Mytilus edulis: one gene and its partner. The protein of the gene in region 1 interacts with the protein of each later gene in a biochemical or structural test. Links are inferred from orthologs where the notes say so. Each region holds a gene or a part of one and is shown in the gene's direction. Other genes may lie near its edges.

Evidence for each region. The genes of interacting proteins can lie anywhere in the genome.
Region 2: of the proteins of DDB1- and CUL4-associated factor 1-like (region 1) and uracil-DNA glycosylase-like, one has a biochemical effect on the other in vitro, tested with the Homo sapiens proteins (2 studies listed by BioGRID, with this or other methods). The link is inferred for Mytilus edulis from reciprocal best matches to the Homo sapiens genes DCAF1 and UNG.

What each region holds. Positions count from the first base shown.
Region 1 is NC_092344.1:96,407,762-96,415,422, forward strand, and holds the start of DDB1- and CUL4-associated factor 1-like, read left to right. Parts: upstream 1-4,645; 5' UTR 4,646-4,732; intron 4,733-6,065; 5' UTR 6,066-6,099; coding exon 6,100-6,209; intron 6,210-6,593; coding exon 6,594-6,670; intron 6,671-7,661. UniProt on the Homo sapiens protein: Acts both as a substrate recognition component of E3 ubiquitin-protein ligase complexes and as an atypical serine/threonine-protein kinase, playing key roles in various processes such as cell cycle, telomerase regulation and histone modification.
Region 2 is NC_092347.1:84,815,850-84,823,767, forward strand, and holds the start of uracil-DNA glycosylase-like, read left to right. Parts: upstream 1-4,909; 5' UTR 4,910-4,918; coding exon 4,919-5,059; intron 5,060-7,918. UniProt on the Homo sapiens protein: Uracil-DNA glycosylase that hydrolyzes the N-glycosidic bond between uracil and deoxyribose in single- and double-stranded DNA (ssDNA and dsDNA) to release a free uracil residue and form an abasic (apurinic/apyrimidinic; AP) site.

The sequences.
Region 1 (7,661 bases):
AATTTGCATTTATTATTTTTGAACTTCTCCTTATCTCTAGATTTTGAGATAAATACTTTCCTAAACATTTATACACATTTAAATTTTCTTGTGTAAATAGCCATAAAAACTTTGAAAAATTGTCTAAAGATTGAAAATTATTACAATTTAGAGAAATTTCAGTAAAAAACTCATTTCTGTTATCAATATATAGTGGACATTCAGTTACAAAGTGTATCTCATCTTCAACTTTATTTAAAGTACAATATAAACATTTTCTCAGTGTCCTATTCACATAAAGTTTAGCATATCTATCAGTCTTAATCCTTAATGGATGAGAGCTTATTCTAATTTTACAGATTGATTGTCTTAATCTAAAATCTTTTAGATCCATATATTTTTCAAAACAAAATAGAGTTTTAAAGGAAAAATAGGTAGTAAGTTTACCTTGATCTGATTGTAAAACTTTATTTCTATTTTCCTTCCAGAAATGGAGATCTAGCTTATCTTTGATAAATTTTGTGAAAGAGTAGATACTGGTTTTTAAATTACATGTTTGTATGCCCAGCTTTTTAAAAATACAGTCTATACTTGAAAACCATGTATTCTGTAACAAGCAAACTGGGCTGGATTAATTGTGAAAATCAAAACACAAGTACCCCAATAATATTGCAGGAAAGTGCACATTAACATGACATATATTAACATCATTTGAAAATTTAAATACACAAAAATATAAATGATTACCAAATACTCTAAATGCAGTGAAACAACTCCGAGCTTAATATTTAGGGAACATTGGATAATTTGTTTTTGCCACTGTGTTTTCAGTTTATTTTCGACTTGACAGTTTGAGTGTCACTTTGGTATTTTCGCCTCTTTTAATTTCCTGCAACCTGCCTGCTTTCTTTGTTCATATGTTTTTTGCTTTTTTTTTTAAATACTAAGTAATACAAATAGGCCGGACATACGAAATAAAAAAAAACAAACATAAGTAAAATTTGTTTAATCTGCTCACCGATATCACCTATACTGGCAATAATAAAATGGTTGCTTATCTCCTGGTACATACATTCTTTTATTCGTGTACCATAGGCTAGTAGTGTGGACATATAAGAGAATAATCTAGACATCATAGAGATCTCTGTTGTCCCCACTGTAAATAACGTGGGGTATGGATAAGCTGATATGAAGCACTTTTTAAAGTTTTTACATAGTCAATTATTCTATGTTTTTTGTTAAAGTGTTATATTTGGCAATTTAATAATCTGACTGTATCCTGAACTTATTTTCATAGTATAATTAAAGTGACATGACTGCATGGTGTGGCAGAAGGTTCCAATTCTGGATAGTGCGTGAAAAGAAGGATTGTTTGTACACTTCTGTTTTGGTGTAGCTCTACTTGTCTGTTTGAACGTCTGGTTTGGTTGTCACTTTCTACTAAAGTACTGTCGGTTTCTGGTATGGGAATCATGATATTGATGGCCTTGTACGTGATCAATAGGCGATGGTCTATAGTGATTCCAAGTTAAGAAGTTGAATCATGTTTGTGACACGTTCAGGGCTTTTGTCTCTGTAGTTATTACAGTCATAACGGGCTCTCCCTTTGTACTTTGTCGAGTCTGTTTAGTCATTAACTTTGTATGGGTCTCATTGAGCAGAAGCGTACTCCGCTGTTGGTCGGACCATGGATCTCTGTTGTCAAAGTTCTCGGACTGTTCGGTTAAAATCTCTAAAATTTTGGCGCAAGAATACTCGTTTTGAGGCTTTGGCTGCAGTCTCTATGTGCTTTTTCTGACTCTGTAAAATCAAACCAAAGAAAGATAACAGTATTCAAATAAGGCGACAAAAAGAATGTGGACGACTGTTCCAATTTAAGGCACAAAACATACCAACTGTGTCCAAGAGTCTTTTCACAACGAGGACTGTATTATATATTGTTCCAATCAATATAACATACTGTGTTAAATCCAGGATATGTTTTAATACTTAGAATGTTCATTTCTTGGAAAGATAAACTGTATTTTAATTAAACCTTTTTATTCGCACGACGTACGTTTAGTGCTTTTTAAGGTTTGAATAAGAAACTTAATTTAACACTTGTTTGATTATATTATATAGTAAATTATCTATCAATATAATTAATTTTAAACAAAAAATCTTAAAATTCAAGTTATTCTCAGGATCAAAACGCATGTAAATTACAGGTTAATTCGCGTAAACGTAAAACTATTTCGTGAAAAAAAATGCCTGTCAATCGTATAATAAAAAAATAGACATCATTGTTACAATACTGATTCAGGTTAGGTTGTAGGTTGGCGCCTGTTAAGACTGTTAAACCCGCTTCGTTTAGTGTGTATTTTAATTTAGACGCCATCTAATTAATTATCGAGTTGACCTCTAAAGTAAAGTAATCCGATGGCCATATAAGCTAAGTAAACATAAATATAGATATGAAAAGATTAACCAACTCGTGCTGTTGAATTATTCTAGGTCTATTTGATTTCATATTATAGTGGAAATAGTGTTTTCGTCGTTTTTATCTGTATAAGAATGATGTTTTGTGGATCGAATCAGTCAATCAAATGTTTTACCTTTGTTTCACTTTCAATGTTGACATTCTTTTCCTTTAAAAAAAACTTTACACATACAATTCACGTGTTATCCATCTCAAGCTAAGGAGTTAAATTGAAGTTCACATGAAAACGGATTCAATGAGGTCGAATTATTCACTTGCAAGTGAATTATTCATAATCGATGTTTATTGGCTTATTTTGACAACATTTAACCATACTGGCGGCTCAAGCCGAATTATTATTTCACTATTTGTATTTCATTAATGATAGAGCAAAAAAATATATTAGATTTTTCATAGATTTCGTAGCTAGTGCCTCTTTAAGCTGGATGTTCGGACGGTTGTCATGTTTTGGGATTTTTGTCAGATTCTCAATATCCTATGGTTTTATCCATTTGAATGCCTTAAAAAATTTGCCCATTGACCCCCTATTTTTCTTTTTATGGATCTTTTACATGTATTATTATAAGCCATCTGTAAAAGTCTTATAAAATCTTAGTTATTTGAGAATTGAATGCTTCTTTTTGTAACTTCATTGGGGTGAAAAAGCGTTGACCGAAGCATTTTGTATGAAGCGCTTAAGCGCTAAGCGCTTCATTCTAAAAATGTGCGCACGGTCAACGCTTTTACAACCCTATGAAGTTACGGCAAAAAAGAAGCATTCAATGCTTATAATTACGTTTTTTAAGCAAGAGCATAAAAACACGAATTTTATCAAGTTTTATTTCATTTACCTGTGCACTTTATTGTGGGGCCTCGTGTCATCATGAATGATAAATTTTATTGTGTAATGAAACTGCTTAAAGAATAACGCGAGCTTGCAGAGTAGCCAATCAGAATCTCGTATTATAGTGAAAACACATCTAATGTAAAAAAAAAATAATACTTTTTGAGAACTTTCAATTGTCAATGATAATGCTATAAAAAATAAAGAGAGAATATTTTCCCCGCCAAAATTTCAATGGCTAATATCTCGAAAAACAAGCACATTGACTTATATATATGTTTTGCTTTTTTGGTTGCTTAAGTAACCCCATATCAATATATTCTAGTGTATTGAGAAGCTTGTTATTTTTTCTGGAATATTATTTCTATAGGAATAATTATTACAGTATATGTTCCTAATGGAATAAAAGGTATAGAATATGAGTGACAATGTTTATAACAAAGTTTCCATTGGAACTTCTGTTAGGCGGAACAAATATAAGTTTACAAAATAACCACTGCCATATAATAAATTTGGTAAATGATTTGATGGTACTTTGGGAGTAATAAGTGAGCGATAATATTAAAGCAGATCAAGTCAGTGGCGGATCCAGGGAGGGGTTCCGGGGGTTGGAACTCCCCTTTTTTTGGCCGATCAATGCTAGGATGAAAAATTTTGTCCTGCATTTTTTTTTAGTTGTAATCTCTGTCCTGTCTTTTTATTTTTCACTCTATTCGGTCCTGCTTTTTTTTTTTTTTTTTTTTTAGTTTATCTGCCTTTTTTTTTTTTGGCAAGTGTCTCATCCTGCCTTTTTTTTTTTTACTCAAAACTCCTGTCCTGTCTATTTTTTTCAAATTTCATCCTAGACCCCCCCATAAAAATCAAATGGTAGCTCCCTAATTATAGATCAAAGTACGGCCTTCAGTAAGTAAATCGAAGGAATACGGGTCATTTTTAGCCATATTACTGCGAGTATACACCTTATCGCTATTTGTCCGCCATTGCTGGAAATCACACAGGTTCCCGTAAAATTTTGACGTCATAAAACAAAATGTCTGACGCCACAATGGAAAAGTGATTGTCGTTGACGTCAAAAGTTCAAGCGGACGGGTCAGCCGGGAATAGCGATAAGGTGTATTACTGCGAGAAAAAAATCTCTAAGGTGCATCAATCGGCGGTCCCTAGTTAAGCCTAAGGCTAAAAGGAAAAACACAAACACAATCTTTACATTAATAAAGATTTTATCTAATCTTTATTAAAATCCCACAAGAGAAGAGACATATATGATTACATGTGGACACGAAACTAAGACTCGAAAAGGTGTTTCTTACTTTTAAATATTCCCGCCAAATGCACAATTATTTTTATGGTAAAAATCCGAAAACCGATAGAATGGCTTTTCCTATTACTTTCGTATTCAAAAAAAAAAATAAAGCATGAACGAAAAAGATTGCGGGAAATTTGTTATTTAGGTAGCATAAACATGATAAATAAGAGACAGTTTTCAGTGAAACAAGCAGGAAAATTATATATAGACAAACTAAATGTTGTACTGTCGACTTATTCACATGCTGTACATACTTGTAATCTTTGAAATGCTTACTTTCTCTGTTACTGTAACATAACTAAAAGTTGTTGTGAAATTCACTTTACCAGTATTTTAAATTGACCATACTTTTACATTCATATTAAGATATATGTTGAAGCTAGGACCGAGTATTTTAACTGACACCTGATAACAAGTAAAAAAAAATGTTGACATTCAATGATAATGGTAAAAAGATTGGGAAAACCCCTCAATGTAACTTATGTGTAACAGGGAGAGCATTTCGGAAAATTTCGAACGGGATGGTGAACCTATATACAGAAGACACGCTCATTCCACCAGACATTATCCTGGAACTTAAACATCAACGGTTTCCAATTACCAACTTGCAGAACCATGAGGAAAGAATTGTTCTATCCAAGAATAATAAGGGACTAGACTACCACTTACCACCTCCAGTGCAGGTAGTCTTGAAAGTTTCAAGACTCACCTACATGAGACGATTAGACCACCGTCATGGGTGTTTTTAACCTCACTGTATACACATGTAGAATGTACATTTGTATAGCACAAAAAATGTTAACATAATTTTATCTAAAATATTTACATGTGTATCCAAAAAGTGACAAAATAACACAGGCACTTGTTTCTGTCAATAAGTCGTTTACTATCCATACCCGTACAAAAGTTTTTTAGTAAACCCCATATTGACAGAAATAAGTGCCAGTGCAAATTAATCAGTTTTGTTGATGGTGGCCGCAAAATGGTAGAAGTCGAAGTAGAAGCATGATTCTTCATACAAAATCATCTTTGTCTTCTCCAGGACTTGAAGCCCAGGACCACTGTGTTACAAGGCAGTGTGTATACTGACTAAGCTTAACAAATACTACTGTTGTAATCAGAAGTTTAGACAAACATAGAAAAGACCCATTTGATTTTAATGTTTTGTCATGTTTAAAGTAATACTAATTTTTTGTTTAGTTCACTACAGATTTCTTCTTGCTATACATTTCATTTTTATCATGAAATCTATAGACAACATTAGAATTGGATGCATTTCTCTCAAGAGGTTTTGTTTAAGTGAACATCATTTGTGTGCTTAGGGGAACTGTCACTTTTCTTCCCATGTTGAGTGAGTGGTTTAAAAAATATGATTCTACCAACAAAGGGATATTTGATGTTTGTTGTTTATACATCTATATGTATGTCATGGGAAGCACTGCTACAATATATAACATATGTTGTTTTTATTTTTGCAGGTTAGAAATATACATTGTGTTGTAGAACAGAGATATGGCTGCCCTAGATTCATTGACTAAATTTAATGGTTTTTTGGATGAATGGATTACAAATGAATATCGTAACAGACTTGACAACAATGAAATCATTAACATGCTTACAAAGTAAGGAATACCTAATATATGTTGAGTAGATATACAATAAAACAGAGAAACGCTCTTAAGAGTTTTTGAATATACCGCTTTTCTCAACTACTAATCAGATTGACTTACATTTTGTACTGTGTATCTAACAGTTGTGTACTTAGATGAAAAAGGTTATGATCAGGTCTTGAAGCAAAGATTCAAGTTCATTGTATTATATCATACCAGTTTCATTTTTTTGTTGAGATACATTGCACCTGCATGAATTATACTAAAATACAATTTAAGTGTAACTTTTAATGATACAATCAATTTCAACTGATAATTGAAAGAAATACATGTATATATCAAACTGTTAAAACTAACACGTAATCACACTTTATTCAATAAGCCTATTTATTACAGGTTATCAGATATTATTGAAAGAGAAACAGAAGAATTTTACAAGATGGACCCAGATCCTTTTGATGATAGACATCCAGGTATATTTTCTCCTATGGATTCTATTTAACTTTATGATCTGTAGGGGGTCAGGAGGAAACCGTATAATGAATTTATCACACACAGGACTATTTCTCCAGCATTTTGTAGAAAAAATGGTTTCCGGATAATAACTTTAGTATAAGCATATAGAAAATGTCAACACAAGGTTTGTAACCACTAAAGGAAGGTTTGAATTGATTTTTGGGGTAATGGTGACTAAATGGTCCCAACTGTTTAGGAATTAGGGACCAAAAAAGGGGCCCAAATAAGCATTTTTGTAGTTTCAAGACAATAACTTGTGTTAAATCTCTCTGAAATTATACCACAAGTTTCCATACTACAAAGGGATGGTTAAGATTGACTTTGGGGGTTTATGGCTTAACCTTTTAGCCCCAAAAACCGCCTGTAGGGGTGATGGCGACAACCATTCTTTGATGGCCCATATGACCCTCAATACTTTTTTTGAAGTGCCCAAGCTGAACTGTCATGATAACAGGGACTTCAACCAAGCAGTTCATGATTCATAAACTCTTCTCAGATGTCTGTTTATGAAAATATGGCACTTTGAAAACCGTTTAAGAGTTCAAAATCAGATAAACGTGAAAAGTAGCAAAAATCAGGTGGGGATGGGCAACTTTTGATGTCCACTACGCAACTGGAAGTGACTGTAGGTATAAATAATTTTCATAAATGCATGCATAGGTGGTACAGGAACACAAAGAGGTAAAAAATTGCCAACAGGAGTCTTTCTGTAAAATCTAGGTCACTGTTTTGTCAAAGTGTTGAGGAAGGTAATCCAAATCAATTTTAAAGAACAATATTTGATTACCTCCCTTACACTGCTTGTAAATTATGTATTAAGAAATGATGACTGTCTTGAATTGATTAGCTGTCAATTTATTTTTAGCAGTTCCTATTTATTAATATTAATTTTAGCCATGACTATATATGTCATTTTATATTTTAAAACTTATATGATGTATTTAAATG
Region 2 (7,918 bases), on another chromosome or scaffold:
ACACTCAAAACCAGAAATGTGAAAGAAAGTATATATAACCATCCAAAATTGAGAATAAAACAGTCAGCAAATTTAAAAGCTGGCTCAGGATTGATAAAATAGCACTCAAGGAATGTTCACATCATAAACAAAAGTAATGAAGATTACCAAGAGTAACAGCTCTTCTACGAAATACAAATGAAGGCAAAGTCATTCTATGCATTTCCAAGGAAGATAACTTTTCCAAAGAATGAAGTTATTTAGAGGGAGGTTATTTTAACAGATAGAAACCAGTAATCAATCATCCTGAAAACTGCTCAAAGCACTTTAGAGTAATGGTTTTGAAAACTGGATCCCCCTTTTTTATGAATAAAATCCCATACACAATATACTTCAGAAACTTAAAATATTAAATTTACAAAAAGTGAAAGTGAGCTTACATCCATAGATATATAAACAATTCACAAAAGTTTCATAATAAATTGGTTAAAGCCTCTGAGTTTTTTTCCAACATGTAAACTTGACAACTAACAGACAGACAGACATAATGACGGACAGTTGTACACCATAATGTGTCCTGTAAAGGGGCATATAAAAACAGATATTTATACTTACTTAATTTACAATGTGTAATTTAATATAATGATTAAAACAGATAAATCAGTTATAGAGGTACATGTGGTAAAAATTAAAAAAAAATATCATTTCAAATTAAAATAATACATTGTAAAAAATAGGAACTTATCAGGATTGTGTCAGATACTTCTTGATACCTTTTTTTTTTAAATTAAAAAGTGTTTAAGGACTTTACTACACATTTTTTATAGTAGTTTTATAGATATAAAGATAACATATTTTTCTACACATTGGTCTCCTGTTAACCTTGTTTGTTATCTAGGATGATAAGTTATTATTGTGTCTTTAGTGAAAACAGGTTTAAATGTATGTACAGAAAAATTAATGAGTCCTCGGTAGGATGTAGGACGAGAAACACTAGGCTTTAAACATATATTTTGGTTCTTCTGTGACTAACTATGGAAGTAAGATTAGTCTTTACATTTAAACATTGTTTTAAATTTGTATACATTTTACAGTAGAATTTGTACAACTGTGGTTCCAATTACTTGTCATTTTTCATTCAGCACTGTCAAAGTCAGAGTGTCGCTCCAATAGACTCAATGTTACAGTAAAAAAAAAAAACAATCAAAACTAAAAACAAAATTCCTACCTACATGTACAATGTACCTATCAAAGAGTACCCTAACTTTTTTAAATGTAACTGGAAATGCACATACTATTTTATTTGGCCCTAATTTGGTCCTCATGTGCAAAAAGTGTCAATTTTGACGTTTTTATGTTATTTTTCTCGACCAGGAGGTAAGAGGAATGCTAATAGATGCATCCAGCTATTGTTTAGATGTAGAGTGGACCCCAGTGAACACATTTATCACAACAGTTGTTAGATTAGAGTGAAACTGATCTGGGTAAATCAGTCTAAAAAAGGTCGTTTGCACCAAAATTCTAAAAAATTCTGATTTCAGACCTCGAAGGTAAGCCCACCACTCAAAAAAAACAACACTTTGGTCTGATTTCAATTTTCCAAGTTTGTATTTGAGCTCAAAATGAACTTTAAAAGTGAGAAAGATGACAATTAATTGTGCAAGATTGAGGAAACATGCATACACTTCCAATTAAATCACTGTGCTTAAACGGCTGTGGGTAACTTAAGTTACCCACAGCCCAAGATGGAGCCGCCTTGCGTCGGTTAGATACTTTTCTTCTATAGAATAACAATACCACGAATGCATCAACTTAAACAACTGAATTTAAAAGTTGTATTAATCGTTTAGGGAAACCCCTAAATTGGAAAGGTGATTAAATTCTACAAAATAAACGATCACAGCACGATTTTAAAAAACACTTAGGCTGTCCGTAACTTCAAAACAACTTGTCCGTAACTTTTTTCATCATACCAATAGAGATGTCCGTAACTTTCAAAGAATCGACATACGCGGATGTAATGTTTAAACTGATGATAGAGATTGCATCGAATACATATTCACAAAACGAAGTAGATGTCTAGTATGATATAATTCATTGTATCGATGGAAGACAAAATTGGGAAAATATGAAAAAAATCACGATAAATCCGCAAAACTCTCATTTTGTATAACGTCGGGGTACCCGAATCGCCTAGTTCGGAGGGTTGTTTCCGATCATAGCAGATAAACTGTTGAAACATCATTGTTCGTTTTTATTTTTGAACAAGTAGACTACACAAGTATTTTTTACACATACATGTAGCATGTATACACTTACTGATTTTCTGCCAGCAACGTTACGACAAGGGTAGCGTGAATTCGGGATTTTGGAGGGGAACCCAAATTGCCCAGGCATGCAGTGGATAGACTATACGAGACTTAAGTGCACAAACTTTTCCCGTCTTTTTGAAAAAGCCAAAAACACTTTTCTCTCATCCCCACACAAACAAATCCCATCAGCATTGACAGTAAAATAAAAGGGGTGTCAATCTGGACACACTGGGACGTTGCGCACGGTGATATTGCGGCACCCTGGCCAAGATTTACAGTAAATGGGAAAACTTTTAAAAAAAAAGGACATTTTGTATAAATGAATAAACCTAGTTTTACAGCTAGCTGCATATTTCATTTGTATGCAAGTTGCATCAAATCTCATTAAACTGAATAAAACTAAAAGACACAATAGGTAAAAGTCAGTGACAATAAAAGGAAAAGAGCAGTCAACATAACTGTAACAATTCGACATAGTATATAAAAATATAAATAACTACGTAGGACAACAGGGTAATTTAATAGTCTAACAACCCCTGATAACATACAAAGAGAGAAAAAAAAACATACTAGGAAACATATTCAAAAAATCATAACACTATAACTAACTGGTGGGATGTATAAATACCGAGCCTCGTCAAAGAGTATTCATCAAAATACACATAGAAAGAAACAGAGGTGAAGGTAAACCGCAAACATATAATTAAACTCAAAACATTAAAGAGTATGGAAAAGCCTTGGTCTGACAAGCCAAAAACGTCGATAAGACGCACATCAGTAAATAAAAGTTCAAACCATAACCAGGATGGAGTACCACAAACCCCACATAAAACTTCTGTGGTGTAAGTATGATGCGTTGATAAAATCACATTTGGTGGTGAATGAGTAGTATAAACGGCCGCGAAGGTTACAAATATGATGTTAATTGTCTTCTAATTTTAAAATTTTAAATCAAAAGTTACCCACATCTAAAAATAAAGTTACGGACAGTCTGCTTAGTTTCGATAAAAAAGTTACGGACATATTATGCATTTTTTAAAGTTGACCTTGCGCTTTAGTGAACTCTATATTAACAAATTTATGGTAATTGTTAGTCATTTCTTTATTCAATAATCCTATAAAGATTTACATTCTGCATGAAAAACGTCGCAAAAGGTACATTTTGTATGAATTAAATATCAACGAGTTTAGAGTCCGCCATCTTGGGCTGTGGGTAACTTAAGTTACCCACAGCCGTTTAAGCACAGTGTAAATGGCATGACGTTGACCTCAAAATGTTTGGAGCGTGCCAAATAACAGTGCTTTGGGTGTGGCCATAATATTACGGCCCTCGCATGGTAAGGGTTAATTTTTGCTCAAATTTCATTAACAGATTAAAAGAGAAGAAAATAATATACACTGCAATTGGTATATATCTCAGTTTACATCAAATAATTTGTGACCTGGTATATTCTACATGAATTAAATTATATTATTCTATTTACTGGATATTCCTGAACTGTACATCTTGATCTTGATATGGTTACACAACACATCAGACAGACATTTAAAATGTTATAAGCATTGTGCACCCATCTAAAAGCAATACATTTGTATATCCAAATGCCCCTAGCTCACAATATCTCTTGTTGAAAAATGTCCAGTGGTGCTCATTGAGATCCAGTTCTTAAAAGTATTTGTGATACCGATAAAACTAAATTTGAGTGATTCTCTTGATCTGGTTGGTATCCAATAAAATAATCAAATTATACCTATCGCCAAATCATATACATTTATCATACATCAAATGTAATTTGTATACTGTTTATGCTTTTTTAATGGAAATTGTGATGTCACAATCAATCTAATAAACACAATAAATGTAGATTTTTGGGTTTACTACACAAAGATATCATAAAATATCAGCCGTGAGCCACAATGTGAACTTTTTGGGGTGAGTGAGCACAGCAAAAGAGCTTAAAAGCTTCAAGTTGTGGAGCATACACAAAACCAAATTCATCTGTTTATCGTATTATTACCGTCTAACTCTTTTTTCCTTCTCTAAGAAAGTTTTATGCTTGACAGAAACAAGCTTAATTACGTCTCCTCTCACATTGAAACGTCGCTGATAACTTCTGCTTAGATGTCATTGTGACTTCGCTGATTATGCCTGGTCTCAAACTCAAAGCTGTGATACAAGAATAACTGATCACTGATTGAAGGTGCAGGGAAGAAGATAACCAATAATACAAGGATATGCAGGGAATAGGTGATGTTTAAAGTATATTAAATAAATGTTTAATCGTTCTAAAAAACGCATGAAATATTTGCCACTGGACTTCAAGCAATCTAGTATGTTTGAAAATAGTGATTGTAATTATTCTGCTCATTCTAGATTGGCAAACAAAAATATATACATGTGTTTGTTTATATGTGTACATATTTGTTATTGAAGCATCTTACTTCTGTTCAATCTTTTTACTGTTTTAATGATTCAAACTTGTTGTTTCCTGAATCGTGCATGTGAAATATTTCAGAAGCGGATGTAAACAAAAATAATCCAAGTTGTTGAAGTTACACATGCTATGATTGGATAATTTCCCTTAATTCAAAGAAGCACAATTTTGATTAGGTGAACCCGGAGGTCAATGTATTACGCGGGAAATTTCCACATGGTTATCAATAACAACATTCAACTCCTTAGAATAATAATGAATAATCAAGCAAAGATTTCAACATTTTTCACAAAAGTTTCACCTGGAAAACGGCAAAATACTGGAGCTTTAGAGGTACATGCAACAAGACAAGTTTATTGAATTTAACCCTGATTTAACCTATTTAGCTATTAAAATTTGAGTGCCCATTATCTCAAATTATTATATCTGATCTTATCTAGGGCAAAATTATATATGCTTATAAATTACGGTTGATGATTGATTCAAAATTTAGAGAAGCCATTTTTATAAATTATAGTGTCATACATGTAAGTTTGTGATTTGACACACTGATAAATCTGGGACCAAGAGATAGTTGCATGTACTTAATTGTCTTTGAAAAACAATACACCTTATCGCTATTTGTCCGCCAATACTGGACATCACAAAATTATATATATATGACATCAAATTTTTATGGGAACTTTGAAATAGTAAATAGGCACTGGCTACGGTTACATGGAAATGTAACAATAATAAAAAATATTATTGTTACATTGGAGAGTAAATGCCGGAATGCATGGTTGGGTAAGGACCGGCTTAATTACGAATGTAACAATAATTATTGAGGCTACGGTTACATTGCGTTATTGTTACATGAAAAAAGCAATGCACGATGGGACTAGTAATATGTACTAAATAATGAAAGTTGAGGACATTTATTACATACATTTATAACATACAATTTATTTACTGTAATTTTTTATTCACAATGACAATTTCTACAAATCCAGTAAGTTGTTTTTAAAGTCCGACACATTTTTGATGAACGAAATTACGTCCTCCACGCATACGTGTACATACAGAATTTCTTAGTATTTAAGTTACAGTTAGCAAACTTTGCTTTTGATTATCAATTTGCGTCAAGTTATAAAGCTGTATGAAATGTATGTCTTGATATTCTTTCAGTTTCATTTAAAACGCATCCCAAGTTTTATTTTTTTCACCATAAACAAAATTGGTCCAAAATATAATGACAGTAATAAGAGTAGGTGTGCAGTTAAATACTTTAAAAAAGTGAAACCATTGAACTATATTTTTCGCCTTTGACAGTCACACTCCTAATCTTGAGTAGTATCTTTAAGAACATCAAAACCATTAATACGTAGTAAAACTATTCAAGTTGTACACCATTTGTTGAATAATAATATTTTATTATTTATCAGTATTAAACTACAAGTAATGTTTGGTACATATGAAATAATGAAGCAATACAACTATAGAAGATTTAAGTTTAATCAATCTAGCGTACATTGCTGTTTTTCATGTAACAATAAAGTAATGTAACCGTAGCCTCAGTAATTATTGTTACATTTGTAATTAATCAATTCCTTACCCAACTTTGCATTCCGGCAATTAGTCTCCAATGTAACCGTAGCCAGTTCCTAGTAAATATCTGATGCCACAGTGGAAAAGTGATTATTGTATATATGACGTCAGAAGTTCAAGCAGGACAGATTCTTGGGTCCAGCGGGACAGATTTTCAAATGACAAGGTGTATATACTTGATTATAACACTATGTACTTATTTCACTAATAATTTTTTGAGAAATGTCACACGGTCACGAACTTGCTTTAAATTTTCATTCTGCTGTTGTCTATATCTTTGAACTTTGTTAAGTTGTAATAAATATTATCTTAGGAAATACATTGTACATGTAGTGCTAAAGACACCTATTTCTGTTGTCAGAATAAATCATGGCAGACCTTCCAAATACTTTTTTTTTGGTCAACAGTAAGTTATTTTGTCTTCTCACAGCCAAGTGGCAAAGTTAATCATTTGTCACTGAAAAAAAAATAATTGGAAAACCAAAATCAGGGTTCACACTTAGACAATCGAGTCATATTAGTCAACAGAACTCCTAAAAATCTGTCTGGATTCATCATTTTCAAAACTGGTATTTACAGTCCAAGGTTTGCATTAATATTGTAAGATATTGCATCAACTTTGCCATGGCCTTAAATGAGGAGTCACCAACATTGCAAGGGCTGTAAAGCAAGTCAAGGTCGTTAAACACTTCCATCATCAACCCCTTATATTTTTTTTCAACATGATACTACATTAATACATGAACATGTGTAGTAGATATAAAAACAAAAAAAGTAATGTATTTGGGTAGAGTGACTTAACAACATTTTTTAGTATTTCCCTATCCATGGTACAATGGGCTCCATATTATTTTACGGGTAGGTCTTTTCACCACCGCACACTGCCGAACACCACCGAACACCCCAAAAGTTTATTACTTTGTCTTTTACCGTTATAAATGTGACTTAAATATAATATTCATGTTAGGCCACCCTTAAAAAAATGTTTGTTTGGCATTGCCGACCCACACTATCAGCAGGTGGGTAGGTAGGTAGGGATTTTTTTTATTTTTTTACATTTAAAAGCTTTATACATGTAAATCATACAGTCTCTAGATCAATGTTGTCTAAAAGATTGCAGCATTGTTGTGTGTACATGCTGGTGGTTTCTTTGAAAGAGGTCAACTGTCAATTTCACATTCTACATCATGGATAATTTCATGTAAGACAGTCAGTTTTATTGGCAGAGTTAAACAAAGCACCCAGAAAAAAACACAGAACTGAGACAGGAAACTGACAAATTAACCATATAAAATGTATGACGTGAAAAATTAACTTTTATTGTGGGACTGTCCATTGAACAGAGGCCTGATGTCACATCTTGAAGTTGTGGTCACAGTTTGGTAAAATTACCATAAGTTAAATGGCTCAACCACTACGGCTCCTTGTACAAATGGACAAAGATTTAAAGCTTTGATTGTTTGCTTTGGTTTTATAAACATCACTTTCTACAACATATGGGTAATTTCATGGCAGTCAGTTTTAGTGGCGTACTAAACCGTAGTACTTGAAGGAAAACGCCAACCTGCAGGAGGAAACTGACTAAACCTTATCACATATGACATG